3 linked regions of the Notamacropus eugenii genome follow. The main gene of each other region encodes a partner of the protein of the gene in region 2 in a complex. Links are inferred from orthologs where the notes say so. Each region holds a gene or a part of one and is shown on either strand. Other genes may lie near its edges. The genes, in order: ANKS4B, CDHR2 and CDHR5.

Region 1 (10,025 bases), on a different chromosome or scaffold from region 2:
CAGGAACATCTGAGTTCAAATATAGCCTTAGACACTCACTTGCTATGGGACCCTGGGCAAATCATTTAACCCTGTTTATCTTAATTTCTTCATCTGTAAAATGAGTTGGAGAAGGAAAAGGTAAACTACTCCAGTGTCTTTGCCAAGAAAACTTCAAATAGGGTCATAAAGAGTTAGACATGACTAAAATGACTGAACAACAAACCTTCCAGGGTTATTATGAGGATGAAATATATTTTGCAGACTAAAATACTATGTAAAACCCAACAATTATTATTTATTTTACCATTTTTATTATATCCTCTTTAGTTGTCCTTTACCATGTTTTTTTTTTTTCAACCAAGAAATAGAATGTGGACATCTGGGCTTGGAGATTGCTTTTAAAGTTTTCTTCAATTTATCCCATTTCACAAAATTTTTCCTTGTCATATTCAACCTCTGATGTACCTCAATGGTCCAAATGCCTCCAACACACCTGCTCTAGGTCCTCCTCCTTATCTGGTTTAAGTCCTTTTCTCTTCTTACACTCTTCTCACAGATGCAAAAAATAGTTGTATCTTTGGTATCTTCCTTGCCTAGAGATGAATTGCTCTCATCCTGTCCTCATAATTGTGTCACTTCCAGAATCAATCTCATCAATGTATACTTGATCCAATCCAGTTGCTTTCCCACCTTGCTTCTCTCTAGCATCATTTCTGTCTCCTCTATGAGTATAAGTATGGTGGTTCTGTCCTTATTGATGAAAGATATTTGTGATTTTAAAAAATCCTTATAAATCTTTTTCATTTTTTAAATTTTTTGTTCTCTCTCCTTTCTCATCCCTAATTTTCTTGGGATGAACTTGTTTGGTTGGGTCTATTGTCAAACTTTCTTTAAATTGGTTCTAATCTATATTGCTTCTCTCTGATAAAGTCCACTGTTTCTCTGGTTTATCAGTATATACTGCTCACAATCTTGCATCATCCACTAAACAAGATTTTATAAATGAGTTTCATTCTAGGTTAGTGCTTCCTCTGGCTACTATTTCTTTCTCTTTGGTGAATAAATCAAGAATTTGCTGACTAAGACTTTAGACTCTTTGAGTTTCCATGTTATGATAATTGGTTTAAAGTTAAAATTATTATCTGTGTCAATGCCCTTCCTACCATTATCATACCTTTTTCATTGGGTTCATTCTTTGTTGCCGAAGAAGACCATGCCATCAGAGAAATGATGATGTGACTTGTACTTGAATTTGTTTTGAGTGAGGGAAATCTGTGCAAGGTCACCAGCCTCATTTCTCCTCCCTATAACTTGTTTGTATAACATAAACAAGTTATAAAATAACTTGTTTTATAAGTCAGGTTTAAATTGTTTCAACTGCATTCCATATGTTTTATTTCCTTTTATTCTTTCCCCTTGTGTTGTATTCATTTTGATCTTTGATCTCACAAGTCTACAGACTGACTGGTCAGGAATTGCTCCCACACTAGTAATGAAGCATTTCCAGTTATTAAAAAGATAATAAATTCTTTTGTGATGCTGTTTGGTTCTCACCACGTCTAGAGCTTAATGAATCTTTTCTTGAAGAAAATCATGGCATTTAGGCTTAAGGCTTCATCTTTGTACTCTTTCATTCTTTTTTGCTGATCCTTTTTTTCAATATATTTCTTGTCATTGTTACCTTGTCCTACCTTTGCATTGAAGTCACTAAGTAACCAAGTATGTGCTGATTTACTTTGGAAGATCTTATCAAGTTCTACTGTAATTTTTCTCTTTGTTCTGTACAATAAATGTTAGTGCATAAGGTATAATTGTTTTCATAGTGATCTTTTTGGAACTACTTATCTTGAGCACCATATTAGATTACCAAATGTTCTATGCATTGATGTTTCTTATTGTTTGGGAATGTCTAATAAGACCAACTGTCAATGCCCTTGTCTCACCAAGGAATACCTATCAACCATCCTTACACTCAGCTTCAACTTCTTTCTTCTAATTCTGTTTATAGTAAGCTGGTCAAGATAAGTATTATTCAGTTCCATACTTAAATGTGCAATGGTGGTCATCCCATGGAATATGCATGCAGCTGAACTGATCTCCCTTAGGTCATCTCTGAATTGGGACATGTGCTGAGCTGATAATGGGACTAAGCTGTTTGGGATGATAAAGCAATCTCTTTATTGGTCACTTAGTCCATGTGACAGTGTCACAGGCAAAGGGTGCCTGTGTCAAAGAGCATTGGTCACTGAGTCACATTAATGTTTTCTATCACATTATGGATATGACTAAGAATCTACTTATTCAATTCTGAGGCTGGAATGGAGGACCTTCAAGGTCAGTTAGTTTAGACCCTTGCTTCTAGGAAAGATTATACATAAATTATCCTAGACAACTATTCCTCCAATTCTTAAAGATCCCTGGGGAATGAAATTTCAGGTATATGATTTTTTCTCTTCCTTTTTCATATTCCTTTCCTTCCCCACTCTCATCTCTCCACTATAACTCCCTATGTTAATCCCAATCCTTGTCATATATTGTGCTGAGATTGGCAGTCCTTGAAAGTGTTCAGCTGAGGTTCCAACTCTTTTCCCCTACTTTTCTTTTCTGATTTGAATAATGCAATGAAAGTGGTTCATCTTCCCCCTTTGCTACCATTCATCCCATAATACCTTTCGTACAATCTGACACAATTGTGCTGTGTTGGCTAATCAATGTTCTTATATTTTGTTAAGGCCCCTTTTCTCTTTCTAAGTGAATAATCCTTTTTGGTAGGGACTGGCTTTTGAATCTTGTTTTATTATTCATTGAGAATTAGTTAGCATCTTCAGTGGAATACAAGGAATTCTGTGGTAACCTCACCTTGATTATTTTCTTTTCTGTACTTGGAGTAAGGTAGATCCTGAAGAAATGATTCTGCCCAAAGCTAATCCTATATGAAAATAAGTGGATAGGCATCATCCTAGAGGTGCATGGAAAGCTCAGTGCCTAAAACTATTCTTACCTTTCTGATCTGAAATCATCACCTGTGGATTACAAGTGGACTAGAGGACAAAGCTGGAAAAAGCTCCCATTAATATAATTTACCTCAGAATGGCTTTTAAGCCTTTTTCCATTAGCACATTGGGGAAAGCTAGTTTATTAGATCATCTTTGAAACTAATGAGAGTAGATGTTAAATAAATTTCACAGAGAAGCAGAGAAAGGTTAAGGAGTAAGGGAGTCAAGGAACAGCAGGAGAGTAGCAGACTAAGGGAGACATCCCTATAATTGGGAGTTGGGGGAAGTCAATGTCAAAGTTGAACAGAATACGTAAAACTTTGCTAATTTCACCACTATGTCTAGGGCTGGCCTTGACCCTGATATTCTCCATCATAAACATCTTTTCAATTTCTTTCCTCCTTTCTTTCTGTGTAATGCCCCCCCCGTCTCTGTCTCTCTCTCTCTCTCTGTCTCTCTCTCTCTCTCTGTCTCTGTCTCTCTCTCTGTCTCTCTCTCTCTCTCTCTCTCTCTCTCTCTCTCTCTCTCTCTCTCTCTCTCTCTCCCTCTCTCCCTCCCTCCCTCCCTCCTTTCCTCCCTCCCTCCCTCCCTCCCCCTTTATTGCACTCCCCCCAACACATATACTGCTTAGTTCTATTGGTGGTCCTCAGAATTAAGCAAATTGCTAATGCCTCAATTAGAACAAAGAGAGATCATTGTTTAGGCCTAGTTTTGGATGAAGTAGTTCCCATAGTGAGGCAAACTCAAAGTCCTATTTATAGCTTATTTAATTGACTCATAAATAAGCCTGCCATCCAACTTTGAAACTGGGTCTCGCTACGGTGTCAGGGACCAGATCTTCAAGAAGGGAACAACTTCATCCAGCGACTTCATAGGTGAAGAGAAAATAAAAATTCTATAAACTGGAATTTATGCTGGTAATGTTCTTGGAAATAGAACTTCTTAAAAGTTGAGCATTTACTTTTGGGTAAAAAGATTCATAAAATAATAGAATTGCTTCTCTCCTATCCCCACCTCCTACTCATTTAAACTGCATTTTAAAATCATGCCAGATACACGGAGTTTATCGTCTTGAAAATATTCAGCAAAGATTTTTAAGTATTTATCCTTGGCAACACATTCCAGTGTCTCTGGCTTATAAAAGAAACATCATCTATTCTTTGCCATTATCACCAGATCATCTTGCTCCATCCTCAATGGCAAAACAAAATAAAACAAAAAACCTAGCATCAGCTCAATGGTTAAAAAAAAATGCATTTCTGGATCTAGGTAAATGTCTATTATTATTATCACAATCATTATTATTGAGATAGGCCTGTCATTCAGAATTGTAAAACACAAGGAAGAGGCGCTAACTATAGGATTTCCCCATTTCCCAAGGAGGCAGTTATTTAAAGACTTCAGGAAAGACTTGTAGGATTTGTCCCACGTGCCATTTACTTTACTCTCATGTGAAAAAATCCCCTGAGTAACTTGGCCTTTATCAAAAACTATAGTCTAAACTTACCCCCTACTACAGATGATCTCCAGAGCTTCCAAGTTGCCATGGTAGGCTGCCAGGAGTGTGGGAGTCATGCCATCTTCATCAGACAGATTAAGATCTCGCTTGGTAGCCTCTTTCAGAATTTCCAGGTAGCCATCAGTCGCAGCTTGGTGGTACCGGGTGGACATTTTAAATTCAGCTCTTCTCTTACCTCAGCCAGCACTCAGAGTGTTTGCCCTAAGTCTTCTGCCAGGCAGAGGCCTACCCAGCAGCCCTGCCTCAATGGGAGGGGTTAATCAGTGACTATAAACTGCAGTATACCTTCAATAAGGTAGAAATATGAGGGCAAAGCTCATCACCTGTCTGCCTCCCTGGAGGAAGCCAGAAAAGTACTTAGATCTGACAGAGGAAATTTTCCTTCCAGAATGGCTGCCAATGGTTATTTTATTTCCTTCACACTCCCAAGTATTTTACAGTTTGGGGGAAAAAGGAACTGAAACAGAGGTTACATCACTAACTGATTATCATAAAGGTGACATAGGCAATATAGTCATTGAACAAAAGGAGACAGTTTTCATTGTCATATAATCTAGCACTACTCCCCAGATTTTATTGGGAAAGTATCTTTTTAAACTATGCTTTCCTCTCTTCTGTTTTCTCTGTCCCCCACTGTCACAAAGAAGACATTATTCCAGGGGGATGCTTTTACGTTTCATGGGTCTTCCGTTCTCAGCTACTTCTCAACAATAATTAGAGATTTAAGCTGACCTTTGATCCTTTTCCTGGTTGCCATGTAAACAGTAGGAGGAGTATTTGAGATAACTGAGTCATTTGGTTGCAAAGAGGAACAAATTCTCCTAGAGCAGGCTAACTTTGTTCAGGGGTTATGGCTAACCTGGGAATGAAGAATGAATCGAACAGAAATGTTGATTCACTTATGAAGAAGCTTTTAATCCACACAATTTAAATTTACTGTCATTCCTATTTTAATCATTTTAATTTCTTTTGGCCCTAGATAATCTTTCTTTGTCTCTCAACCAATGTAATTTTCTTTAAAAAAACCAAAACCAAAACAATATCCATATCTTGCCCCCAAACCTTGAGAGAATTTGTTAATTATATGGATTTCTTTTTTGCTTCTTAACTGTTTATTTACTTGTCTTGCGTTTCTCCCATTTGAAGTATTTCTAGATCAAGTAACCTGTTTGTCTCTGGTGTCTTTAGAAAGAATGATGACAATAGCTTTCTTTGGGAAGGCTTTGAAAGAGAAAGCTTTGGGGAAAGAAAGAATGTCTTGAATGACTGTGATATAACAAGAAAAAGGCATCAATAGCACTTCTTTTTACAGTCCCTTTTTTGGTGAAATCTTTTGTTATTGATGAAGATGCTCCACATTGCATATTTTGGGATGGATTCTGATTGCCTTGGCTGGGGTGGGGGAGGGATATTATATCATATTCCAAAGGTTATTTGAATAGCTTTTCCCTAATATCTAAAAGCCTCTCTCTTTTCTGCCTGCAGTATCTATTATTAGACATTGAAATTTGGTGTTTAACTACTGTGTTGCTTAGAGATTAAAGATCTTATCTGTCCTCCAGGATTGCCATCGATCAGAACTCTGTCATCCATTTTCAATATTCCTAGATAATTTTCATGCATTGTTCCTACAGTACGGTAGTCAGAATTTTCAAATCAATAACATTTTCCCAGGATATCAATAATCCTCAGTTTATCTCTGAGTCCTTTTCTCAAGGTCAGTTTGACTTTTGTAGAATATGAATTCTTCTAACGATGTTATCCTTTGGCTCTGTTTTACCAAATTTTCCTTATCTATAGTTTTGAATCCCAAATCTTTCATTCCTTTTTTACAGTTTCAATGGTTTTATAGACATATGTTTTTGTATTGTAGGAGAATCTAGATGAAAAGCATCATCCTACACAGAATTAATAAACTTTATTTCCCCTCATAGGGCAAGAAAGCTGATTTCAGGGACAATCTCAATGTACAGCCCCTGTACCTGCAGTGGGGTAGCACCAGGTAGCAGGGGTGGGAGGAGGAAGGATCCATACTTCAGTTGATAGAAACCCTCAGGCTAAAATTCATAGATTGTTTGAGAAAAGAAGCAGTATCTTACCAAGGTAAGGCTGACTTGTTTTCTATAGAACCCAAAAAGTGAGAGTATTTATAAAATTACCTAATGAAGAAGGAGGGACATGAGCAGGGAACTAGAAATGAGGAGAAGGGAAAAAGGAAATTTAATTCTAATAGTACCATTCCAGGAAAAGGTTGAAAATGGAGCTTAATGTCTGGGTTTTTGTATACTTGCTTGGGGGTTGTGGGGGGCATCTACGGCCTTATCAATCAAACTGGCTTTCACCCATCCACATTTATTAACTACCTACTTACTCATTTGTTTTGCTGAATTCTTTAGTAGAAGCTCTGGTTTATTGATTAATCTCAGACCTGTTTTCTATTCTAAATTTTCTTATTTCTTTTTAAAAAATTTGTGGAATTTCTTGTTGTTGTTTTTCCTTTTTTAAAAAAATCCAATATTTTTTTCGCATTTCTTTCCAAAACAAATTTTATGGTATCTTTTGTTTTTACAGTACCTATATTTCCCAATTTTTCTCTCCTCCTTCCCTTCACAGAGAGCTATCCTTATAACAAAAAAATTTTTAAAAGATAGAAATCAGTTCAACAAAGCAACACAACGGAAAAAAGTCCAACATTGTCAATATTATTTCAAACTTCATAATCCTCCACTTCTTCCAAAAAGGTAAGGAACTGCCTTGTTCTATTTCTTCTTTCAAGTCAAGCTTGGTTGCTGCAATTTCATAGCATTCAATTTCCTTCTGGAACTTTGGTTAGACTCAGCCGTGTATTTGGACAGTGTTCTGCTGTCTCTTCCTAATTCTGATATCCAGTTACCTTCTCTGTGTTTTGAAAAGATGCATTATTGTTGTTCGTATTGTTTTTATTATCTTATCATTCTAACTTGGCCAACCCTGACTGATGGGATAGCTTGTCAGTCCATTCTTAATGCCACTTCTGGCCATGGGAAAAGGTTAAAAAAAGAGATTTAGTTGATTTAATTGAAGTGATCTAATTTGGTAGGTTTTCCCATATCTTCAACTGGTAACTCTTGCTGTGCCAGCACTAACTTTTTCAATTCAGGGTTTAGTCTGCAGGGTTTTTTATTCCCACAGATTTGCAGTTTCTCCTGTAAATCTAACTAAAGGAAAGATATCAAGTATGAGCATGTGCATTCTGGGTCAGATATATTAAAGAGTCCAATTTGAATTGACTAAAAGTAGCAGTAGTAAAATTATTTTATTAGGAACTGCAAGGTATTTCATTCCTTTGTGGTCATTTAGGTAGAGGGTGGGGAGGACAGAGAGAAGAAAGCAAAGGGTATTACAAATTCATATGTGTACAAATTTCTAATCCACCCTGAGAGAAACTTGCTAGCAAACTTCCAACTAGATTTTTTTCCCTTTGTTTTATAAAGCTATTCATTGCTAAACTGTAAGAGAAATTCAGTGGCTTGAGTGGCCCAGAAATACATATATTCATGTAATAAGTATACTCTCTCTTGCCCTCAAGAGATCTAGTTTTCAATAAGCAGTTTCTCTCCAGTCTCTAAAGCTTTTCATTTCTGATTATAAAAGAAACTTGCTTGCATGGAACAGAAACCCACACATATTTTGGTAATAAGGAAAAAGGCAATGAGAGGAAATCTGCCTTTCAATTCATGTTGCCTTGGTTTTGTATTTCATTTAAGGCAAAACCAACCAGGAAATAAAGGAGTTTCAAAAAAAACCCTTAACAACATGACCCATAGGAAAGTACAAACAATACCTCACTTCGCTACCTTGCAATCTGTTGTGAACTTGTGCATTATCCTATAAAATCTCATTATCTGTTCAGATAAGCACATTGTTGTCAAATGAACTCTTCAGAAAATGACTGCTAGATCTCTGTTTTCTTTTTTGCCATTCGGCCAAAACTGTTTCAACCAACTTGAATAAGACTTTTCTTGTTCACAAGATTTCAGATACTAAGAATAATTGCCTTGTTTTCCTATTAAAAGGATGTAAAAAGACACTTTTTCCTCACATCATTACCATTGCCTACCCATTCTTTTTTCTCTTTCATATTAAAATGTAAGAGAAAAACTAGGTGGGTAGATTGACTCATGGAATTTTAACGCTTCTGAAGGGCTGGTGGGACTTAATTTGTTCACATAAGTTTCAAACTATTCACAGTCCTATTTTCCTGCCAGAATAAAAGACAAAGTTGCTATTGTACCATCTGGTTTGCATGAGGTATTATTTGGCATCTCTCAACTGCATATTTTAAAAATGCTAAATCCCAGACGGTATTACAGTCTAATTAGGACCAGAAACAATAAAGAGGGCTTTTTGTTTTTTGTTTTTTAAGTCCAGCCAAAAAAGAAAAGAAAAGAGAGAAAGAAACCAACCCTCTCATGATTTAGATGTGCTTTATAACGAAGAAAAATGGAGAGGGGCGGGGGGAGAAGAGACATTCGCAGTAAGTGCTATGAATTTTAATTCTACATTTGCAATTAATTGGCTTTTGTGATCTAGGGAAAGTTCTCTCTTTCTTCTCCATTTTTCAGATTTCATACCAATAAATTATTCTGACCTGAAAGTCTCAATCAGGATAATCATATACTTGTTACCCCTTTTCAGATAACAAAGGTCATCAAAATCCATGTAAAATTACAGAATAGATGACCTCTTTAAAGCTTTTATTGGCTGCCATTTTCTTTCACTATGGCAGACTGAATTATAAATCAAACTTAAAATAATATGCAAGTGATTATCAATAGAAAAGGATGCTAATGACTTGATTAGGTTCCTTGGCTTTTCTCTGAAAAAATTCTACTAGTGAATCATCAACTCACATGGTTTCATTTACCATCCATACCTCCACAGTCTCATATGTTGTCTTCTCTTCGGTCCCTCATGCCTTTCTGTGTACAAGGCCTTAGCCTAAAAAGGGTCGGGGTCTCCCATTGCATCCTGGGCCATCTCTAGTCATCCTGATGAATATCTGGCCACTTGATCCAGATGGCTCTAGAGGAGAAAGTGAGGCTGGTGACCTTGCACAGCCCTCTCTCACTGTAGCAACAAGCACCCCTTCTTTGTGGGGGGAGGGCTGTCACAGTCTCAGATATATTTTCCAGAAAGGGAAGCACCAACATCTGGGTTTTCAAAGCTAGAGGGGCTGCTTAGTGCCTTCTCAGAATCTCATCAAGCCAAACAAATACTTCCAGTCAGTAAGCCCCAAAGTAAAACTTCACCCTCAGAGTATTTATACATTTTTTAGAGCCAGAGGGCATCACAACCCTTCAGAGTCAATACCTCATTAGAAAATTAACAAAAGGTATGAGCCTTCCTACAAATCTTCCCAGGTCCATTAATGGGTAAGGAAGATCTTCCCATTAAAAAGCAAAATTATATTAACAGTAAGCAAAAATGCATTATCAATGTACTCACTCAAATCAAAACTAACTGAAAGTCATGTCATCATTTCCCTG
Region 2 (10,000 bases):
GAACAAGTTCCACCCATTTGGAAAATGAGGTCTTGGGATGGCCTAGATAATAGAGATGGCATAAACCCAAGCAAGACTAGAAGCAGGGGTTTTGTCCATGAACACCTGCTGGGAATGAGTTGTCCTTTAACACACAAATCTAGTGTCAGAGGTTCCAGACTGACTGATGGTGTCAGGGGAGATTAAAAACATATTAAGCCCCTACTATGTGCCAAGCACTGTGCTAAATTCTGAGGATACAAAGAAAAGGAAAAGTCTACTACAATAGGAAATAGTTTAGTATACATAAGCTACATACTGCATAAATAAGAAATAACCAACAGAAAGAAGGCACTAAAATTAAGGGGGATAGGGAAAGGTTTCCTGTAGAAAGTGACATTCTAGGTGGGACTTCAAGGAAGCCAAGAAGCCAGGAGGTAGGGGTGAGGAGGGAGAGCATTCCAGGCACGGGGAAACCTTTGCTTTCCTCTACCCAAGCAGATGGAACCTGGAAAATTCAGTATCTAGCAATCCTTAGAGTACCCAATGATTCTTCTTATGAGTACTTGGGATTACAAGGCTTCAAAATATAAAATCATGATATTTAATAAAAGACACAGTAAGGAAAGAGAAGGAACATGAACCAGCAGATAGAGGGTTAGCCTTGTGATCAGGAAGACCTGAGTTCATGTTTTGTATCTGGCACATGCTGGCTACTTGATCATGGGTGAGTAACTTAAGATCTCAGTGTTACAGGAAATTCTCTGAGACAGGATGTCACAAATGAGTTGGCAATCTGTACCAGCAGAAACTCACACACTGAGAATCCCCTATATTGATAAAAATCCTAGATCTAGACAGCTACACATACACAAAATGGGCACAGGAAGGACTTGTATTCAAACCCATAGAAAATCAATGATTCATCCCTTCCAGGCCTTAGAGGCAGTCAGGTGACAGAGTGAATAGAGCCCTGGAACCTAAGTTCAAATACCAGTCACAGATACTTATTAGCTGTGTGACCCTGGGAAAGCCACTTTAATTTAGGCCTGCCTCAGTTTCTGCATCTTTAAAATGGGATTAGTAATAGCACCTACCTCATAGGATTGTTATGAGGACTGAGTGAGATATAGTTATGAAGTGCTTAGCTCAACACCTGGCACACTGTTGTTATTCAGTGACGTCTGACTCTTTGTAATCCTGTAGACCAAAGTACACCAATACTGTCCATGGATTTTTCTTGGCAAAGATACTAGAGTGGTTTGCTATTTCCATTTCCAATGGGTTAAGGCAAACAGAGGTTAAGTGACTTGCTCAAGGTCACACAGCTAGTAAGTGTCTGAGGCTGGATTTGAACTCAAGTCTTTCTGACTCCAGGTCCAAAGCTCTATCCACTGAGCCATCTAACTGCCTCTTAGCTGCCTGGCATATGATAAGTACTTAATAAATGTTTGTTTGTTTCCCTTCCTTCCTCTCTTCCAATGGTCACCCTCTAGCTCTGATATTCTGCCCCCTAAGATTGTAAAGTCTTCTTTACCATGCTATGATTAATCCATTCAAAATGAGGGAGATAAAATTATCCTCTTTTTCCCTACTCCCTTAACAATCCCAATATACTCTCTCCATGAATAGTACTAGACAGAATGCTGCAGCAGAAAATGCCCTAGTCTTAGAGTCAGAATATCCGAATTCGGTCCCCCATTCTGATACTTAACAATTACACAATGCTGAATAACTTGCTTGGTCTTCCTCTGTCGAAGTTTCCTGGTCCACAAAATGGAGATAATCATATTGGTATAATACTGTTGACTACTGTAACCATTTAAACCTTGGCCAACAGGGATTTCTCTCTATATGAGCTGTAGGACCTGGAAAGCCCTATTCTACGTCCCCAACTAAGACTGGGATTTTTTACCTTTCAGTGGAATAAGAGAAGAGCCATGGCTGGGCACTCACTTCTCCATTCTTCTATCTCCAAGAGGGATATTAGGCTAGAATTATGTGTGTCTTCTATACATCAGATATTAGTCAGGTGGGACTCTTTTACTCTTTGGGAGTTTAGAATCAGAGCTCTTTTCCCTGGTCATCCTGGGTAACAAGTAGTCCTTTCCCAGACCAAGACTCTCCCATCAAATGCTTGTTACACACACACACACACACACACACACACACACACACACACACAAACCAATAAGGAAACATAGAGAAACAATAGAAACTGAAGTACACTGATTGGGATAGATACAGGGGTGGGGAACCTGTGGTCTTGAGGCCACATGTGATCTTCTAGGTCCTTGGGTATGGCCTTTGGACTGAATCCAAGTTTTACAGAACAAATCCTTTTATTAAGGGGATTTGTTCTGTGAGGTTTGGATTCAGGCAAAAGGCAGAACTTGAGAACCTAGAGGGCCACATGTGACCTTGAAGCCACAGGTCCCCGACTCCCAGGATAGAAGATAGAATACAAAAGAGTAAATGAACTCAAGTCTAGAGCAAGGTCACATCTCAGCTAAAGAAGAAAAGGCTCTCTCCAGAGAAGCCCATTCTTTGCAGTCTTTGAGGTTGCAGGTGCTGGGCACCAAGAGAGGACTAGCTCTTCCCACAAGTCTGCAATTCCAGGGATTCCCCTTACCCGTCATTTTGGGAACTTCCAACCTCTTTGGGGGTAGAAGGGGGACTATTTGCATTCATCCCCTCATAGAGTTATTGTAAAGGAAGTATTCCAGAAATCTTAGCTGACTACAGCAATGAGAATTAAGATTATGATCCCCTCTGTTGCCCAACTCAAAATTGCCCAGTTCTCTGGTACTCCTTCCTCACCCTCACCTCTCATGTCCCTCTTCTTCACTTCCATGGACAATAAATTAGTTGAGATGCTCTTTCTTATCAGCTCCATAACCAACTGGCTCAATTCATTTCACTGTTTCTCATATCTTCTCAATTATGTCCATCTTGACAGTCATAGGACCCTACATTTAGGGCTGGAAGGGACTTAAACTATCACTATTCCACTATTTTCCACAATTTGACCCCAATCTATCCTTACAGTTGCTCTTCCTGTTACTTCCCTTCCTACAGTCTAGGATCCAAACTGGACAACTTGCTGTCCACCCCCAACACTGTGCATTTTCTTGCCTCCAAACCTTTGTTCACATAGCACCCTCCACCTAGAAGACCCTCCTCTTCTTTAATGCCCACCTCAAATGCCATCTTTGCCAAGAAGCTTTCTTTAATCTATACCCCTACAACTGTTTCAGAGTAAAAATAAAACAAAAACAAAAAGCCTTTCTACTCCAGCACAGATACCAAGGTGGGCAAGGGCTGAATGCTATAGTTTTTGACCTCCCATTTTTCTCTGATCCCCTGACCTTCTGGACTCATATTCTCATCTTCAAAAGCCCCTAGCCTTGTGGCTAATTTGCCATACCCAGACCTTTGGAGCCAGCCACAATTAAGCAGACCAACCTAAGAATGACTGTTCCAACCCATTACCCTTCATTTCCCACACCTTAGAACTGTCCCAGGTAGCCTTTTTATCTTTTTCATCCTTATCTCTATTTCTCAGAATGAAAAGAGACACCCAGGCCCTGCCAGCTCTGGGCAACAGATAGTCCAGCAAAAAACAGTCATCGTGGAGGAGTGGAAAGACTCAGGAAACCTGAACTCTGTTTAGCCCTAGTCCCACCAACAGATAGGTCTGGGCATTCTCTTTTCCTCTCTGAGCCTGTTTTTCTACCTGCAAAACCACATATTGTACTTAATGTATACTCTAAGGCTGTTTTCTAGTTCTTACAGTTTCTGTTCTAAGGTCCCTTATAGTGCTATGGTTGGGGGCTCCCAGGAGCCTCCCCTCTGCCTGTCACAGTCCCTAGCCTCCTTTGGGACTCAGCACAAGAACTATCTGGCCCACCTGCCACCCACTGCCTTCATCCCTCTAGCTTAGGTTGTATATACCTTATTCCTACTTAAAGTGCATTTCCTATCCATCATTAGAATGTAAATTCCCTGAGAACAGGATGCCTTTGGTTTTGTATCCTCTGCTCCATTCTTTACTGCTGACACATAACTGGTGCTTAATAATGCTTGTTGATTGGTTAATTGGAGGTTTGACTTGAACCCTCAGCCCTATTCCCTACAAGGAAGCAAAAACAGTTAAGTGAGCTGTTTGGCAGTCTAGCCTTCTTCAATGTCCTCCCACCCCACCCCCAAATCCCCAGAGTAGCCTCCAGTACAGCCCAGTCCAAGCCTGCTAATTGCCCTATGGCACATCTGTCAGTTCTTCCCCACCTACCTTTCCAGTAGAGCCCAGCCCAGTTCTGCCAGTTTGTGCCCCAACTCATCCTAGTACAACCTGGCCTAGGCGGGGGGCTCTCAGAACATAGAATAGTAGCCCCAGAGTGGGAAGGAACCTCAGCTCATCCAGTCCAACCCTTCCATTTAAACAGATAAAGAAAATGCAAGTCGCAGAGGTTAAAGCCAAGATCACACAGGTAGTAAATGCCAGAGAAATGAGTCAGACCCATACGCTGGACTCACAATGCCACATTCTTTTCCCTACACCCCCTAACTCCCAGCTCGCCTCATTCCCCCAGCGTCAGAGGAAGACACTCTTCACTCATCTATCTCCTCCTTTTTACATTCCCCCTCCCTCCCCAGAACCCAGCCCAGGGCTATAGTCCTCCCCTCCTCCTCTCCTGGGTACTACTCTCCAGTGCCTTTATCTTTGAACCTACCAGCCATCAATCCCATTAAAGCCTAACTACCAGATGTTAGCTCTTGGCTCTCCCCTTCCTTCTCTCTCCCTTCAAATTTTCCTAGAGGACCTTGTCAAGATCTCTCCGTTGTCCTGCCTACCATACTTTATTTCATATTTCTGTCGATATACTATCCTCTTATATAAGCCCTTTTGATGACTATATGTCACCAAAATGATGAAGAATAGATTGAGGGACGGTGGAGTTTTTTTAATTCTTACATATCCAGCATGGAGAGTAGTCATATCTTTGCACATAATAGATAATTAATAAAATTATATAATTGAAAAGAATCAAATGAAATATTCCCATTCTAGCATGGCCTGGGGCTGTGGTCTCCCCTATCTTCCCCCTCCCTGAGAATTCAGTCTATGACTTTAAGCCCTCCACCTTATCATCTCTGACACCCCAAAACCAAACCCGTTCAGGACTAGGAGATTCCCCCATCTCCAGAGTCTTCCAGACAACGCTCAGAAGAGAACCCAGGGCTCACCAATTTCCTCTCCCCTGCAAAGTCCAGGCAAGGACTATGAGATCTCCCAGACCCCCACCAGCTTGGTCATAAAGCCTGAGGTTGCCCCAGACCTGGGCTTCAGTGATCTCCCCTCCCTTCCTGTTCCTAGAAACAAAAAAGGGCCTGATGTGATCTAGACCTTCTCTTCAGTCAAAGTGATCCTTCCTGAACTGACTGGAGATGGCAACACCTGTAATTAACTCTTGAACCCATAAGTCATCAACTCCATTAAAAGCTAACTGATGGGAAGCGGCACATTGAAAACAAATGATGACTTCTAAGGTCCGATATATCCTGTGCTTTCTATATCCCTTTTATAGGTGAAAACTTCCTCTTCTTCTTGTTAAGGGGAGAAAGAGAGGAGGAGGTATGGTGAAATGGAAAGGACAAGAGTTTGGGAGTGAGGGGACCTTGATAAAATGAAGTGGTTGTACTTATATGTTCATTAAACTTTCTTCTAGCCAAACCTATCAGACTATCATTCTCTAGATAGGCAAACTGAAACCAGAGAAAAGCAACTCCCTCAAAGTCATCCAGTGAACCAGGGAAAGATTCTAGACCAACGGGGTCACACATGAGGCCGTCTTGCAGCACAAAACACTTCCCATCAGGGTTTGAACCAGATTAAAATATAAAGGGGAAGTATTTAACAAAACAAATAAAAATGCCATAAAACATAGATAACATTACATTTTAAAACTAAGTCAACATGTGACCTGCAGGGATCTTTATGATAAATTGACACTATTTCCAGTTAAGTTTGATACCACTGTTCTGTACTAAAATACAGGTCTCCTCATCCCCAAGGCCAAGTTCACTGCCCCCATACTGTCTTCCCTCTCAGCCTCAGACTTCAGCTCTACGACACAGTTTTGTAGCCTCAGTTGGGGAAGGGAACTTCAGGGAGGAGGACCCCTGAAGTTCAGACTCTATGAGAGAAACTCTGGGACATCTGCCTAATAGGGATTCCTTGGAGTCAAACACTGACAATGTTTGACAACAAACACTCATAACTCTGGCAATGTAGCAATGTCACCAGAATATCTTACAGCAAGACACTGGCTTTGGAGTCATATGGCCTCAAAGAATAGCTCGGATGGACAGGAAACTGGAGACCACACTACCCTGAGATACTTTGGAAAAACTGAGGATTCTGAGGAAGATTTGGGTTGGGAGGTGAAGAGGAACATGGTCTCCCCCACTACCTTCTCACCAGTTATCTCACCATGATTATACTCTTTGCTCTTTTTCCTTCCCACTCCTTTTCAGTTCTGGAATCATCATAAAAAGGACCAAGCCATTTTGATTAGTGACTGATTCTACTGATCCCTTATTTCAGGAAAGTCATGCTTCATTTTACTTCCTACCCACCCCTGAACCAGGCCTCCCCCTTGTCTAAAGCAGTTATGGAACCTTGACCAAATCTATGCTGCCAATTGCCCCTGGATGATGTATGTCAGTCTACTCCTTATGGCCCATCCCTTTGTAATTTTCTGAGGGCCAAACTGCCTTTCCATGGTCACCATTTTCTTATACTGCATATGTAGTCTCCCCCATTAGAATGTAAGATCTCTTTGTTTTTGTATTTCCATCCAGGCTATGCATTCCCATAGTGTTGGGTACATATAATAAGCATTTAACAAATGCTTTTTCATTCACTTACTCATTGTTACTGGAAATAGTGTGTCAATCTATTCCCCTACAATTCCATTAAACATCCTTGTAACTTTCCAAACAAAAATACTTCTTTCTGTCCACCACTCTCCATATATGTTGTCTCCCAATATTATAATGTAATCTACGTAATTACCTGCATTACCTGTTTCACCAATTTGTTGCAAAAAAAAGTTTCATAAACTTTAGAGCATTGTTATCAATGCAAGTCATATTTTTAAAGTTTTTTTTAAAGCCATGTGGAATCTTGGTGAGCCTCCTTCTGAATTTTATTTTTTTTTTCAATTAATAAAAAAATCTCTTTCATCTCTTCCTCCAACTGAAAAAAGAAAACCCTAACACCAAATATTCATAGTCAAGCAAAACAAATTCTAAATATTGGCCATGTCCAAAAAAAACACATTTGTCCCATTTTGTACCCCAAGTCCACCTCTGTCAGGAGGTGGGTAGCATGTTTGCTTCATTTTGAGTCTTCTGAAATCATGGTTGGTCATCACATTGATCAGAGTTCTTAAGACTTTCAAAGTGTTTCTTCTTTACAATGCTGTTGTTATTGTATAGATTGTTCTTCTGGCTCAGCTCACTTCATTCTGCATCAGTTAACGTAAGTCTTCCCAGGTTTCTCTGAAACCACCCTTTTTGTAGTTTCTCAAGGTATTCCATCATATTCATATGATAATTTATTTGGCCATTCCCAATGTATGAGTATCCTCAAGGGGATTTAGAAAGGATAACATGGGTGTATTTTTCCAATATCCTGACTGAGCAACTATTAACCTTGGACTCAGCACTGACTCACTTGCTCCCTGTTTCCCTTACAATACCAAGTTAGGCCTCTGGGAGAAACTCAGCTAGGGGTATGAAGCACTTATTTTCCTTTCTTGATGTCCCACACCTACAGCAATTCAACCCATTGCCCCTCTGTGGCCTTTGCTCATCTTAGATAAAATCTCCACCTTCACTTTCAGTCAGAATAATCAACTAGAACAGAGCCAACCTGAGGATGGTGGAAACTGGGGAGAAACAAGTCAAGTTTATGGAATGAATCTCTGGATTCTTGGGAATTCAATGTCTTTCTTAAAAGGGACACAGTTCTGAGGATGGAGGAGCAAAAGGACTGACCCCTTGCCAAAGAAAGACAGTGGTGGGAGATAAGGGAGGTCAGCTCCCAGGTGAATAACAGTATCCCATTTGGATCTTGTATCTACTCTAGCTGCACTGAATTCTGAGACAGAATCCCTCCTCACATAAAGCTTTAAACTTTTCTACTTTATACAAAAGTATGGTGAATTCCTTGTCCCTAGCAAAGCCCACAGGCTTTGATGCTTAGGACTCCAGTGTGACTCCATTTCTCTGATTTAGCTGCTATATATTCTCGAACCACAGGGTAACTAGGTGGCACAGTGGATAGAGCACTAGGCTGGGAGTCAGAAAGACTCATATTAGTTGAGTTCACATTCAGCCTCAGATAATTACTGGCTGTGTGACCCTAGGCAAGTCCCTTAACCCTGTTTGCCTTGGTTCCTCATCTGTAAAATAAAATGGCAAGCCACTCCAGGATCTTTGCCACAAAAATCCCGAGTAGGTTCAGGAAGAGACAACTGAACATCAACAAAATTGTTTGAACCAGTATACGTGAAAAGTGCTACTGGTGAGGGCTTAGAAACCCATCTTTTAAGCTTTATACTGAGACACTAGATGACTGAAGTAGCAGCTTGCTTTCTAACAACTTAGTAAAGGAAGAATTTAAAACATATATTGGATGTTGCTTTATTATAAATGTTTAGCAATTTTATTTAGTGACTAAAGGTTCTACCTTAAACCAGATATAACTGCAGGGATGTGTTTGTTTTGCTACAAGATATCAAGCTTTGTGTGTCTTTTTCTAAAGCAAATGATTCCTTTGGTTTTTCTTTGTGATTGGTTTTCTGAACTTTTTTCAATAGTGGTTATTTTAAAATTACCAAAATGATAAAATATTCCAAAATTTGTCATTTCTTGAATATGATCAAAAGTGTGGTAAGGGTGTGGGAATAATCACTTCAAACAACTGCTTATTTGCTCACGACTTAAAACAAAAGAACAAACAAGAGCTGTTTGCTTACTGACTTTCTTGAAAACAGTTTAAATTTCTTAACTTGAAAAAAGACTACAGGGTCAAGGACCATCTTCCTTTTTGCTCTCCACCTCGCCCCCCACCCCCAGCATAGTGTTTGGCCCGTAGTGAGCACTCAATAGATACATATCCATTCATTCATCATTCATTCATTCATTCATAATTGCTTGTTTTAAGTATTCGAAGAACTGCAATGGGAAGGTATTAGCCCTATTCTGCTTGGCCCCATAAGGCAGAAATAAATGTATTTCAATACCTTCAGTGGCTTCCTATGATGCAAACTGCTCAGTCTGGCTTTTAAACTCCTCCACAGTTCGGCCCTAATCTACCTTTCCAGCCTTATTTCACTTTCTTCCCCTCCATAAACTCTTCGTTCCCGCAGAATGGGATACCTGCGGCTCTTTGTGCCCCACCTCCCAATTTCCGCCCCTGCACTTTCTTCCAGGTGGTCCTGCATACTGGAATTCACATTATCTTCTTCAGTTCTCAGCAAACTTGCGTTCCTTGAAGCCTTAAGTGCCAGCTCTTCCAAGCAGCTTTCCCAGATCTGCACCCCTCCACCCCATTCCGAGTCGTTTAGTACTCTCTCCTGTGTCAAATTACCTGGTACTTATGCATACCTGTAGCATCCCCGCAGTAAAATACGTTCCGAGGACCGCTTCGTTCTCATCTTACACGGTGCTTGTAAATAACGTGTGTTGAACTGAATTGAACTAGGAACCATGGGCAGAAGTTTTTCAGAAAGTCAGATTTGGGCTCCACGGAAGAAAAAGCCTCCTATGATTAGAGCCCACCAAAAGTGGCTCAAAACTATTCAGTTTGCCTCTAGAGACAATGGGTTCTGCAAAAGCTGGAGGACCTGTCAGAGCTAGTTAGTAGATGGACAACCCATCAGCTTCAGTCTCTGATTCTTTAATTCTGTATCTCCGTGAACATATCGCTTCCCCTTTCCCAGGCACTTCC
Region 3 (10,926 bases), on a different chromosome or scaffold from region 2:
TGCACTTTTTGTTGAGCCTAGGGAGAAAAGGGGAAACCAAGGCACAGACTGAACTCTCAACAGGACCCCGAAAGAGAGGGCCTATCCATCATCAGAGACCGAGGGAAGCTACGAGGCCAGCGAATGTCACCCAGAATAAGGCAGGAGGGAGGGAGTGGGCAGGATAGAGACCACAGCCATGTCTATGGGGCCCTGTGACAAGGAGCCCTAGTGGGGAGCATCTGGGCACCCCAAACTGGCTCTGGATCTCAGTTCCAGGGCCTTGGCCACCATGAAACACTGGTCCCCTGGAGCCTACCCATGCGAAAAGGTAGGCAGTCCGTCCATCAGCATGTATCAAGCACCTACTGAGTGCCTGGAGCTAAGCTAAACATTGGAGATACAGTCCCTGACCTGGAGGAGCTCACAATCTAGTGGGGGACAACATGTAAATAGACACAAAGCATGCTCTGGACAGGATAAATTGGAAATTAATCTAAGGAAAGTCCTGGAATAGAGGGGCTGGGGAAGGTTTCCTGTAGGATTTGGGATTTTAGGAAACCAGGGAGGTCAGTAGGAAGAGTGTTCCAGTCATTGGGGTCAGGGGCAGTGTGAAATGGCCAGAGAAAGTGTCCAGAGCCCATAGATGGAGAATCTTGTTCATGGAACAGCTGAGAGGTAGGGGGGCTTGTGCCTCAAAGAGTACTGTGGGGGGTGGGGGGGAAGTTATAGGAAAACTGGAAAGGGAGTAGGCAGGTTATGAAGGACTCTGAATACCAGGAAAAAAAAAAAGATTTTATATTTCCTCCTGGAGTAGGGGGTGATATGGTCAGACTTGTTCTTTAGGAAAATCACTTTGATGACCAAATGGAGGATGGATTGGAGTGGGGAGCAACTGAGGCAGACAGACCCTCCAATAGCCCAGGAGTGAGGATATGAGGGCCTGCACAAGGGTGGGGACAGGGTCAGAGGAGATAAGTGGGCATATTGGGAGAGAAAATGCTGCAGAGGTAAAATGACAAGAGATATTTAGAAGTGAAATCTACAAGAGATAGAAGTGAAATAGAAGACACGAGATACTTAGAGGTGAAATGGACCAGAGAAACTTAGAGGTGAAATCTACAAGAGACAGAAGTGAAATAGAAGACAAGAGATACTTAGAGGTGAAATCTACAAGAGGTGCTGGATAAGTGAAATCTACAAGAGATAGAAGTGAAATAGAAGACACGAGATACTTAGAGGTGAAATGGACCAGAGAAACTTAGAGGTGAAATCTACAAGAGACAGAAGTGAAATAGAAGACAAGAGATACTTAGAGGTGAAATCTACAAGAGGTGCTGGATAAGTGAAATCTACAAGACATGCTGCAGAGGTGAAAGTTACAGACTTTAGTCAACACATTGGAGCTGGGGGGTAAAAGTCAGGAGTCCAGGAGTCCAGTCAAAGTTGGGACCCTGAGGGACCAGGAGAAGGGTACCCTCCACACTAATACAGAAGGTTTGGGGAAAAAGAACTTCAGTTTTGGACATGTTGAGTTTCAGATGTCTACGTCCAGTTCAAGATGTCTGAAGGGTAGATGGAAGACTGGAGGTCAGTTGGGAAGTGGGGGCGGGAAGGATAGATTGATTTGAGAATCCTCAGCACAGAGATGGTCATTAATCCATGGTTGCTGATAAGATCTCCAGGTGAAACAGGGAGAAGAGCAGAGGGCCCAGGCCACAGCTAGAGGGACACCCTCCCAGTTGGGGAGGGCATAGGCTAAGAAGGGGAGCATACCTAGACCTGCTTCTCACCTGGACTACCAGGTTGAAAGTCTTGGGGACAGGGACAGCTTTGGCCATGGTGACGTTGCCTGAGTCCACGTCAATTTGAAATGTATCATCTGCATTCCCTGGGGAAGTTTGGGGGGAAGGGAGGTCACCTTCAGTCATCTTTGTGCCTGCCCCCTCCTCCACCCAGAGATAGTGTGGTGGGCAGGCAGCACAGAGGGCCTAGACTCTGATGGGTTGGCAGGGGTAGGATGGATCTCACCTGCAATAATGCTGTATCTGATTGGTTCGTTGATGGCAGTGTCTCCATCAATTGCATATACAGGCCCGGGTTCGAAGGTCAGGGGTAATGTCTACAGGAAGGTAAGAGGAGAACCAGTGGGGGTGGTGTCTCTGACCCAGCCTCCCCTAGTCACACAGACTGGCCAGGTGAGAGGACTGGTAGCCTTCTACAGTGTCCATCTCTTGAGTCCCAAACTGACCCTAATTGGCCTGTACAAATTTCCTGCAGGAAGTGAGCAGTGCCCAGACCTGTCTGCCGAGGAGGCAGAAATAAGGCCACTGGTGGGCTCATCTGGGAGATTATGGAGGGAACTTCCTTGAGAAACTAGGTCATATTAGGAGAGAAAATTGTTATTAAATGATTAGGGCTGGGGACTGGACCCAAGCTTGAGCGGGGTCAGAAACATGCAAGAATATGAGGTTCGGGGCACAAGTCTCCAAAGGATCTGAAAGTCTCCAAGGTTCTCATCCTCCTCATCTCAGCTGTGTCAGACTCTGGATGGAAATAGTCTCCAGCCCTAGTCACTTAATAATTATTTTCTCTCTTAATTTGGCCCAGATTCTCAAGGAAGTCCTTCCTGTATCCTCCCAGACATGCCCACCAGTGGCCTCAGCCCTGCTTCCTTGGCAGGAAGGTCCAGGTACTGCTCACTCTTTTCAGGAACTCTCTGAAGTCCAGTTGGGGTCAGGTTGGAGCCCCCAGGGATGGACACTGTGATCAATGGAGCCCTTTGGGAGACCTTCACTGGCCCTCCCTTCTGGCTACTGAGCATGGGTGGTTAGGAGAGCATGTGAGGAGAGATGCCTCCCTGCCCCCCACCCCAAGCATGGACATTACCAGTATGGAGCCAGTCGGCACAGCTGCTCGGTACTGTGCATTGATGCAGACTCGCCCATCAGTGAACACACAGGGTAAGAACCATGGAGGGCGTATGTCTGCAGGTATCACTTGAATTATGACTGTGGCTGTGGAGGTGTGGCTGGGCTTCACCGCTGGCTCTGAAGTGTCCTGTGGCAGAGACCCCAGCCACACATGAGTGGGATACAGCAGGGCCTCACTGACCACTCCATATTGGTGCGGGGGTACTCTTTTCTATGATCCCCTTCAAAGCTCCTGGTCTTAGAGGATAAAGAGGTCTACTTGGGAACTGGGGGTCACTGGGCATAGGCTTTGCCGTTTTGGTCTGTCAGGACACCTATGTGCCCAAAGGCTCCAGCACATAGATAGAGCTCAAAGAGCCTGAGGAAGCATCCCTCATTTTATAGAGGGAGAAGTCAAGGCCTAGACAGCGGCCAGGACTACCTAGAACCACACAGCCAGACTCCTTGGGGACCCAGGAAGGGGAGGAACTCACTCTTGCCAGAAGGTGGAAGACCAGGATTGGGGTCTTCTCGTAGTCCAGAGCCCGGGTCAGTTGAAGGGCAGGGAAGTTAACCCCAACCAGGGAGAAAACCAGGTCTGCATCCTGAGGTGGAAGTGGAGGGGGCAGGAACCAGTTGGAACCCAATGCTCCCTTCTCTTTCCCCCCAACGCCCCCCCATCTCAGGTAAGTGGCTGAGTCATATACCCCAGTGGAGCCTAGCGCCAGGGTCTGACTGGGAGTTGGGGGGAGAAAGATGCTCCGGAGTCCTGGAGGGGTTGGGGGAGGGAGAGAGGGTGCCCAGGAGGAAGCCAGGTCAACTGACCGAGGGGCTCTGCCCTGAGAGATTGTAGAAGATCGTGTCCCCATCCTTGTCTATGGCTGTGAGTTCTGTGGCTGAGATGACAGTAGTCCCCACGTTGGTGTTCTGCCCAAAATTTAGGAAGTTTGAGTGGGAACAGCTCAGCTCCATCCCTGGTTTGAACCCCAGTCCCCACCACACCACCCTGTGCATTGTGTAGCTCACCTCACTGACATTCCAGGCCTTACTGGAAAAGGCAAACACCGGGGCCATGTCATTGACATTGAGAACCTCCACAATCACAGGCAGAGTGGTCACCTGGGGCAACCCAGGGGTTAGAGGTCAGCAGTCATTCCTTCAGTCCAACCCACTTCCCCATCCCGATGCCTAGCCCCCACACTCACCACTTCAGACCCCTCCTTGCATTCTAACATTGCAGTCAACACGGTATGTGTCTGGGTGGGAGAAAGAAGGGAATGCAGAACCAGTCATTCTCAAAACAAACCAGGCCTCTGGACATCCACACTCTTATGTGACAGATTGAGCGGGGTCCCTCTTCCTGCCTCCCTGCCTGAGGTGGGGTGAACATAGGGGAATACCTAGAGGACCCAGGAAGGGGAAAAGGGATGGCATAGGGGGTTGGATCCTGGCTCACCTCATAATCAGGGGCCCTGGTGAGCCTCAGCTGACCATTCACAATATCGAAGATGTCCTTAGGACTGGATAAGTCACTCACAACCACTGTCTGCCCCAGGGGTGCTGTGACCGTGGCTAGGGGTTCGGTAGGGAGCTCATTCTCAGTCACAGAGAGCAGCGTCTGATTCACAGAGCACACTGTGGGGGGGAGGGGATTCCCACTCTGAATCAGCACTAACCCCTGAACTTCCCTGGAAGCCCCCTCCATCCCTGCCCCCAGCCTCTCCTCCCTCAAACCCTCCTCCCCCCAGCCCCCTGCTCCCAGCCTCTCCTCCCTCAGCCCCTCCTACCCCCCAGCCCCCATCCTTTCCTGCCCTTCACCATCTCCCTTGCCTCCCTGACTCTCTCCCCCAAGCCCTGCCTTCTTTTCAACCCCACTACCCTGGGTCTGGCCCTCAGCTCCAGGGAGAAGCAGCAGCAGTGGCAGAAGCCCCAGCGTCCACCCAGAGGCCTCCATGGTGGGAGAGCAACCCAGCCCTCCACCCGGGGAGCCTCTGAGGAAGGGGAGAAAAGATCCTTCAGCCTGGCTTGGCTCAGCCGGCCCTGCCCTGCTGCTCTCCTGGCACGAAGGAACGGAGAGCGACCTTTGAGACGGGCAAATGACGATTATTTATGGCACCTACAGCCAGGGCTCTGACACGCCCCCACCCCCAAGGTCTCAGCCCTCCCAGCACCCCAGAACAGAGCCTGGGACGCCGACCTCTGACTGGCCCTGGCCCTGGGGAGGTGTTGGGGAACACAAGCTTGAGTCTGGGTTGTAGAGAATCAGAAGATCCCTGCCCTTTGTCCCTCCACCGAACACAGGAGGAAATGAAACAGTCGCCCTGGACCTTTGAGGGCTTCCCAGGCTGCCCGTTCTTCTGGAGCATCCATCCTGTCCCTCCCTCCTCATTTCAGACCATTAACTAGTTAGTGGCCTCAACTTCGGAAAAAAGAACTTTGTGTTCCCTTGCTGTGCCCGGAGGGCCCAATCCTTGGGAAGACGTGAGAGGATGAGACCTCCTTCAGCTGGGAATGACAGGAGAGGTCATTTGTATGGGAGACTGGTTGTCAGGGCTGGGGCTGGGAAGGGAATCAGGCTGCTCATTTCAGGCATAGGGGAGGGAGCAATGGATGGACCCCCAGATACCTGCACAGGCCCTCTGGCAAAGGAGCTCGGGAAATTTTCTGTTCTTCATTATGAACTGAATCACTCAAAAACAACCAAAACCAGTAACTCACATTTCTATAGTGGTCTAAAGTTTACAAATAGTCAACTAGTCTTTCTCAAGTACCTAATATATGCCTGGCATTGTGTTAAGCCAGGAGTGGGGAAACCTGTGGTCTCATGGCTCCCAAGTGCGACTTTGAATCCAAACTTCACAGAGCATTTGTGCACAGAGGATTCATTTTGTGAAGTTTGGATACAGTAAAGGGCTGCATTTGAGGGCCTAGAGGGCCACACGTGGCCTCGAGGCTGTAAGTTCCCTAGTCCTGTATTAAGCATTGGAGAATACATAGAAACGTCCAGATAGGATGGCATTTGACTCTCACAGACTGTTCTGTTTGTTGTTATCAAGTCATATCTGATGCTTTGTGACCCCGTTTGTGGTTTTCCTGGCACAGATACTAGAGGGGTTTGCCATTTGGTTCTCTAGCTCATTTTACAGATGAGGAAACTGAGGCAAATAGAGTGAAGCAACTTGTCCAGGGTCATTTAACTAGTAAATGTCTGAGGCTGGGTTTGAACTCAGGTCCTCCTGACTCCAAGTGCAGGGCTCTAGAACTCAGGGAGAGAGAGGGCAAGATTGATCCTCTCTGATCATACTTATCTCCACCCACTGGGGGCTGATTGAGGTGGGGAACGTTCACTGGAGATTAGCTACAGAGGGTTTTATTCCAAGGCTAAGGAGGTCAGGGCTACTAGGCTTCCTTTCTAAGCAAAGTTAGAAAGATAGAAAAGTCAGAGTACAAAGAAAACTCCCAAAGAGCTGAATGCCCCCCAGACTTTGGCGGATTGGCCGGTCCCAGGCAGCTGACTTAGTATAATTACTGCCTTCTGTGCCCCCACCCCGCCTCTCCCACTTTAAGCCTCCTTTGGCTGGCAGACCATTCTACTCCTGAGAAAGTGCAAGATGACAATGGAGTGAGCAGGAGAAAGGTAGCCTCTGTGCTCTGTCTCAGAAGACACAAGACCCAGACCTTAGGTTTGCTTTCCCCATTTTCCTTTGATTGAATCAGTAACTTCTTTTGTAATCTTGTTTCATTCACCAGCTAGAAAAGTTGGAATTTTCTCAAGTGATTCCACTGGCAACCCCATCACCCCAACAGGAATGTCCATGCTAGCCTATGGGGTCACCACCAACATCCCCCAGCCCAGGAGGGTGGGGAGTTCCTACCTGGATTCTATGGGCAGGGGGGCATTTGTGCTGGAGGGGTGGTCAGGGTAGAGAGGCAAAGAAGTGCGTGTGAGGCTTGGAAGATGGTGGTTTCCTTGGGAAGGTTACTTCGGGCTTTGGTTGCTCACCATGTGAACTCCTTTCCTTTGGGCATTTCTGCAGCCTTTAGACCTGCTGCTGCTAGAAACACATTCCTGGCCAATTCAAAATTTTCCTTCAGCACCAGTTCTTCAACTTATGTGCCTGCTGTAACCCAACATGCTCCATATTTTAAGGGTACAGCTGTTGTCAAAGGAGAATTCAAAGAAATCAGCCTTGATGACTTTAAAGGCAAATATTTGGTGCTTTTCTTCTATCCTCTTGATTTCACTTTTGTGCGTCTGACAGAAATTGTTGCTTTTAATGACAAAGCTAACGAATTTCATGATGTGAGCTGTGAAGTCGTTGCGGTTTCAGTGGATTCCCAATTTAGCCATCTGGCCTGAATAAATACACCAAGAAATAGTGGTTGTTTAGGCCATATGAATATTCTGCTCCTGTCAGATTTAACCAAACAAATTTCCCAGGACTATGGTGTTCTGCTTGAAGGACCTGGCCTTGCATTAAGAGGTCTCTTCTTAATTGACCCTAACGGAGTTATCAAACACATGAGTATCAATGATCTCCCTGTGGGCCAAAGTGTGGAAGAAACTCTTTGTTTGGTGAAGGCGTTCCAGTTTGTGGAAGTACATGGAGAGGTCTGTCCAGCAAATTGGACACCAAATTCGCTTACGATCAAGCCATCTCTGAATGCTTCCAAAGAATACTTTGGGAAAGTGAATAAATAAACAATACCAAGTATTGAAGACCCATGTGGCTTTTTAAATTATGAAGAAACCACAAACTGGAATCTACAATAATATATAAAAAATTACTGCATATAGAAGAGTAGAATATGTGCAAGTTATGCCTATTTCTGTGAATTTCACCCCCAAATGCTCAGTTTTCATCAAATTGCCCCCTCAAAAAAACTATTTAACTTTGATAGTTGTTGCTAGTTCAGAGTATCATTTAGTACAAAATCCTTGCTTTCCCCATAGGTCTCCTTTACACATTACACTTAACATATATTTGGTGTCTTCATCAGAACCTAGAGGTTCCCTTCCTGAATTGATAGGCTAAAGAAATCGCTGTTGTCTTTCTATGCGTAAGAAACAGGTGTAGCAATCAGAATGCTCTGAGGGGCTTGAGTTAGAGGTGAACAGGTATAACTGCTTTCCCTTAACTGATTATCCCTTTGTAGATTTTTTTTTTTATTATTAAACCATAGCCATTTTTCTCCATAAAGTGAATGTCCTGTAACTAAAGACAGTAACTTCAGAGGTCTAATTTGACTCATGGCATATTTGAGTATAAGACAAGTATGAAGTATATTTACTGTTTAAAAAAATCTAACACTTAACAGTAGTAAATTAAAGTAGTTAATCATGGGCAGACCAGAGATTTTTAATTCAGGGATTCATTTACCATTATTTGAAGTTTGAGTGAACTTTATGTCTTGATATATTTCAAATACTATTTAATTTGACTGTAAAAGATACTTGTTGAACCCCAGAGTTATGTATAATGCAGCTCTGGAAATTATTATTGAACATTTATTTTTTGTAGCTGGTGAATAGCTCAGTGTACATTCTTTAATCAAGAATAAAGAAATTTTAAAGTAAAAAAAAAAAGAAAGACGTGTGTGAATGTTTGTTGATGGCCCTTCTTCCCTTGTCTAGGAAGATGATGAAAAGATGCCATAGGTACAGTATAGTGGCACTGATCTTCCCTCAGAGGCTTATTAGCTATGTGACCCTGGCAAGTCACTTATCCTCTCAGCCTCAGTTTCCTTAACTGTCAAATAGGAATAATAGCAGCGCCCCCCTCCAAGATTATTATGAGGATCCAAAGAGATAATATTTGTAAAGTACTCAGCACAGTGCCTGGCATCTTGTACAGGTACTTAATAAATGTGTGTTTCAGAGGAGAGAAGTGGAGCCAAGCCGGTGGAGAAAAGGCAGGTGCTTGCCTCTCAGCACCTTTAAATAATGTCCCAAAACAATTCCTGGAGCAGCAGAACCCACAAAAGGATGGAGGGAAATAATCTTTCTAGCCAAAGACAACCTAGAAGGTAAGGTCAACAGGAAAGAGGGAAGGGAGCCGGCAGCTAGTCAGAGAGATGGACGCAGTGAGGCAGGATTCTGTTGCTTTGCAACCAAGAATAACCTATCCAGCAAGACTGAGTATAATCCTGAGTATAATTAGTGATGGGGAGCGAGTGAACTTTACTTTCATCATAGCTGACTCAAAGAGGAAATAACATACACATCCAGTTGAGTACAGAAATCTGTCTTACCCTACAGGAAAGGAGGGGAAGGGAGGTGATAGAAAGGAGGGCAGATTGGGAAAGGAGCAGTCAGAAGCAAAGCACTTGAGGAGGGACAGGATGGAGGGAAAAACCACTAGCAATAGTAATGGTGAAAAAAATTTTGGAGCAAGTTTCTCTGGTGAAGACCTCATTTCTCAAACATATAAAGAACTGAGTCAAATTTATAAAAGCAAGAGTCATTCCCCAATTGATAAACGATTAAAAGATATGAACAGTTTTTAGATGAAGTAATCAAATCTATCTATAGCCAACTGAACAAAACTCCGTATTGATTGGAAAAATGAAAATTGAAACAATTCTAAGGTGCTACCTCATACCTATTAAATTGGTTAATAGGACAGAGAAGGACAATGAACAATGTTGGAGGGGATGTGGGGAAAATGAGACATTAATGCACCGTTGGTGGAGTTATGACCTGATTCAGCCATTGTGTAGCACAATTTGGAACTCTGCCCAAAGGGTTACAAAACCATGCATTCCCTGGTTGGCCATGTTGTTCTAATGCGAAACGTGTGCTTGCCAAAAAAGACTCTTTTATGGAGAACTCACACAGGACAAGCGTTCACATGGTGGTCAGAAGAAGTGATACAAGGACACTCTCAAGGTCTCTCTGAAGAACTTTGAAATTGATTATGGGAGACAGACACAGGACCAGTTAGCATAGTGTGTTCTCATCAGAGAAGATGCTGTTCTTTATGAATGAAGCAGAATTGAAGCAGTTCAAAAGGAATACAAGATGCATAAATTTAGAGGATCCTCCCCAAATGTTCATATGGACTCTTTGTGCCCGACCTGCGGGGAACCATTCTTGTATTGGTCCAATCAGTCACAGTCAGACACAATGTCATTTTGGTCTTTAAGAACCAAGGACAACAACCAACCGACAGCTGCTAGGTCTCTATCCCGAAAGAGATAAAAAACAAAAAAGAAAAGGACCTATATGCACAAAAATATTTCTATCAGCTCATTTATGGGGGCAAAGAATTGGACATAGGTGACTACGTTGGAATACTATTGTACTAAAAGAAACGATGAGCAGAAAAGCTTGGAAAGACTTACATGAGCTGGTGCAAAGTGAAATGCACTGTGTACAAAGTGACAGCAGTATTATAAGGTGATCAGCCGGGAATGACTGAGCTATTCTCACCGATACAATGATCCAAGACAACTTTGAAGGCCTTAGGATGAAGGATATTCTTCATCCCCAGAGAAAGAACTGAGAGTGTCTGAATACAGACTGAAGTAGACTTTTCTTTATTTTTCTTGAGGTGGAGTTTTTTAATTTCTTTCACATCATGACCGATACGGAAGTGTTTGGCATGATGACCAAAGAAAAAAAGTAAATCGGTGTTTCCCTCCTTCCTTATTTTATAATGCATATACTCAGTGAATACAATCTTTTCCCACTTCTGAAGGCCAAAGCATGCCTTGTCTCACACTAGCTTCCCTCCTGTGGCTCACTCCTCCATCCTTCTGGCCCATTAGAGCTCAGAACCACCATGTGTTGTTGGTGTGAACTCTCTCGCTTGCCCTTTTTCTCCCCATTAGACTGGGAACACCTGAAAGGCAGAGATTGTTTTTTGCCTTTCCTTGTATCCGCAGCTTTTGGCACTGTGCATGGTGATTACAGGTGCTTAATAAATGCTTGTGGAGTGACAGATTGACTGATAAGTTGGCGAAAACCTATAAATTCCTTTGGTTTTAAATGAGAAAAGGGAAGTACATGGGATTCCAAAAGCAACCAGTTATG

What was found.
Region 1: CDHR2 (region 2) and ANKS4B share a complex: the UniProt entries of both Homo sapiens proteins name them as parts of the IMAC/intermicrovillar adhesion complex. The link is inferred for Notamacropus eugenii from reciprocal best matches to the Homo sapiens genes CDHR2 and ANKS4B.
Region 3: CDHR2 (region 2) and CDHR5 share a complex: the UniProt entries of both Homo sapiens proteins name them as parts of the IMAC/intermicrovillar adhesion complex. The link is inferred for Notamacropus eugenii from reciprocal best matches to the Homo sapiens genes CDHR2 and CDHR5.

The regions. Positions count from the first base shown.
Region 1 is NC_092874.1:397,908,031-397,918,055, forward strand, and holds the start of ANKS4B (ankyrin repeat and SAM domain-containing protein 4B), read right to left. Parts: upstream 4,730-10,025; 5' UTR 4,650-4,729; coding exon 4,486-4,649; intron 1-4,485. UniProt on the Homo sapiens protein: As part of the intermicrovillar adhesion complex/IMAC plays a role in epithelial brush border differentiation, controlling microvilli organization and length. Plays a role in assembly of the complex.
Region 2 is NC_092872.1:413,157,508-413,167,507, reverse strand, and holds the start of CDHR2 (cadherin-related family member 2), read right to left. Parts: upstream 4,544-10,000; 5' UTR 4,271-4,543; intron 1-4,270. UniProt on the Homo sapiens protein: Intermicrovillar adhesion molecule that forms, via its extracellular domain, calcium-dependent heterophilic complexes with CDHR5 on adjacent microvilli. Thereby, controls the packing of microvilli at the apical membrane of epithelial cells.
Region 3 is NC_092873.1:27,702,460-27,713,385, reverse strand, and holds the start of CDHR5 (cadherin-related family member 5), read right to left. Parts: upstream 4,941-10,926; 5' UTR 4,846-4,940; coding exon 4,770-4,845; intron 4,527-4,769; coding exon 4,348-4,526; intron 4,148-4,347; coding exon 4,097-4,147; intron 4,011-4,096; coding exon 3,918-4,010; intron 3,819-3,917; coding exon 3,717-3,818; intron 3,497-3,716; coding exon 3,386-3,496; intron 3,040-3,385; coding exon 2,869-3,039; intron 2,102-2,868; coding exon 2,011-2,101; intron 1,871-2,010; coding exon 1,773-1,870; intron 18-1,772; coding exon 1-17. UniProt on the Homo sapiens protein: Intermicrovillar adhesion molecule that forms, via its extracellular domain, calcium-dependent heterophilic complexes with CDHR2 on adjacent microvilli. Thereby, controls the packing of microvilli at the apical membrane of epithelial cells.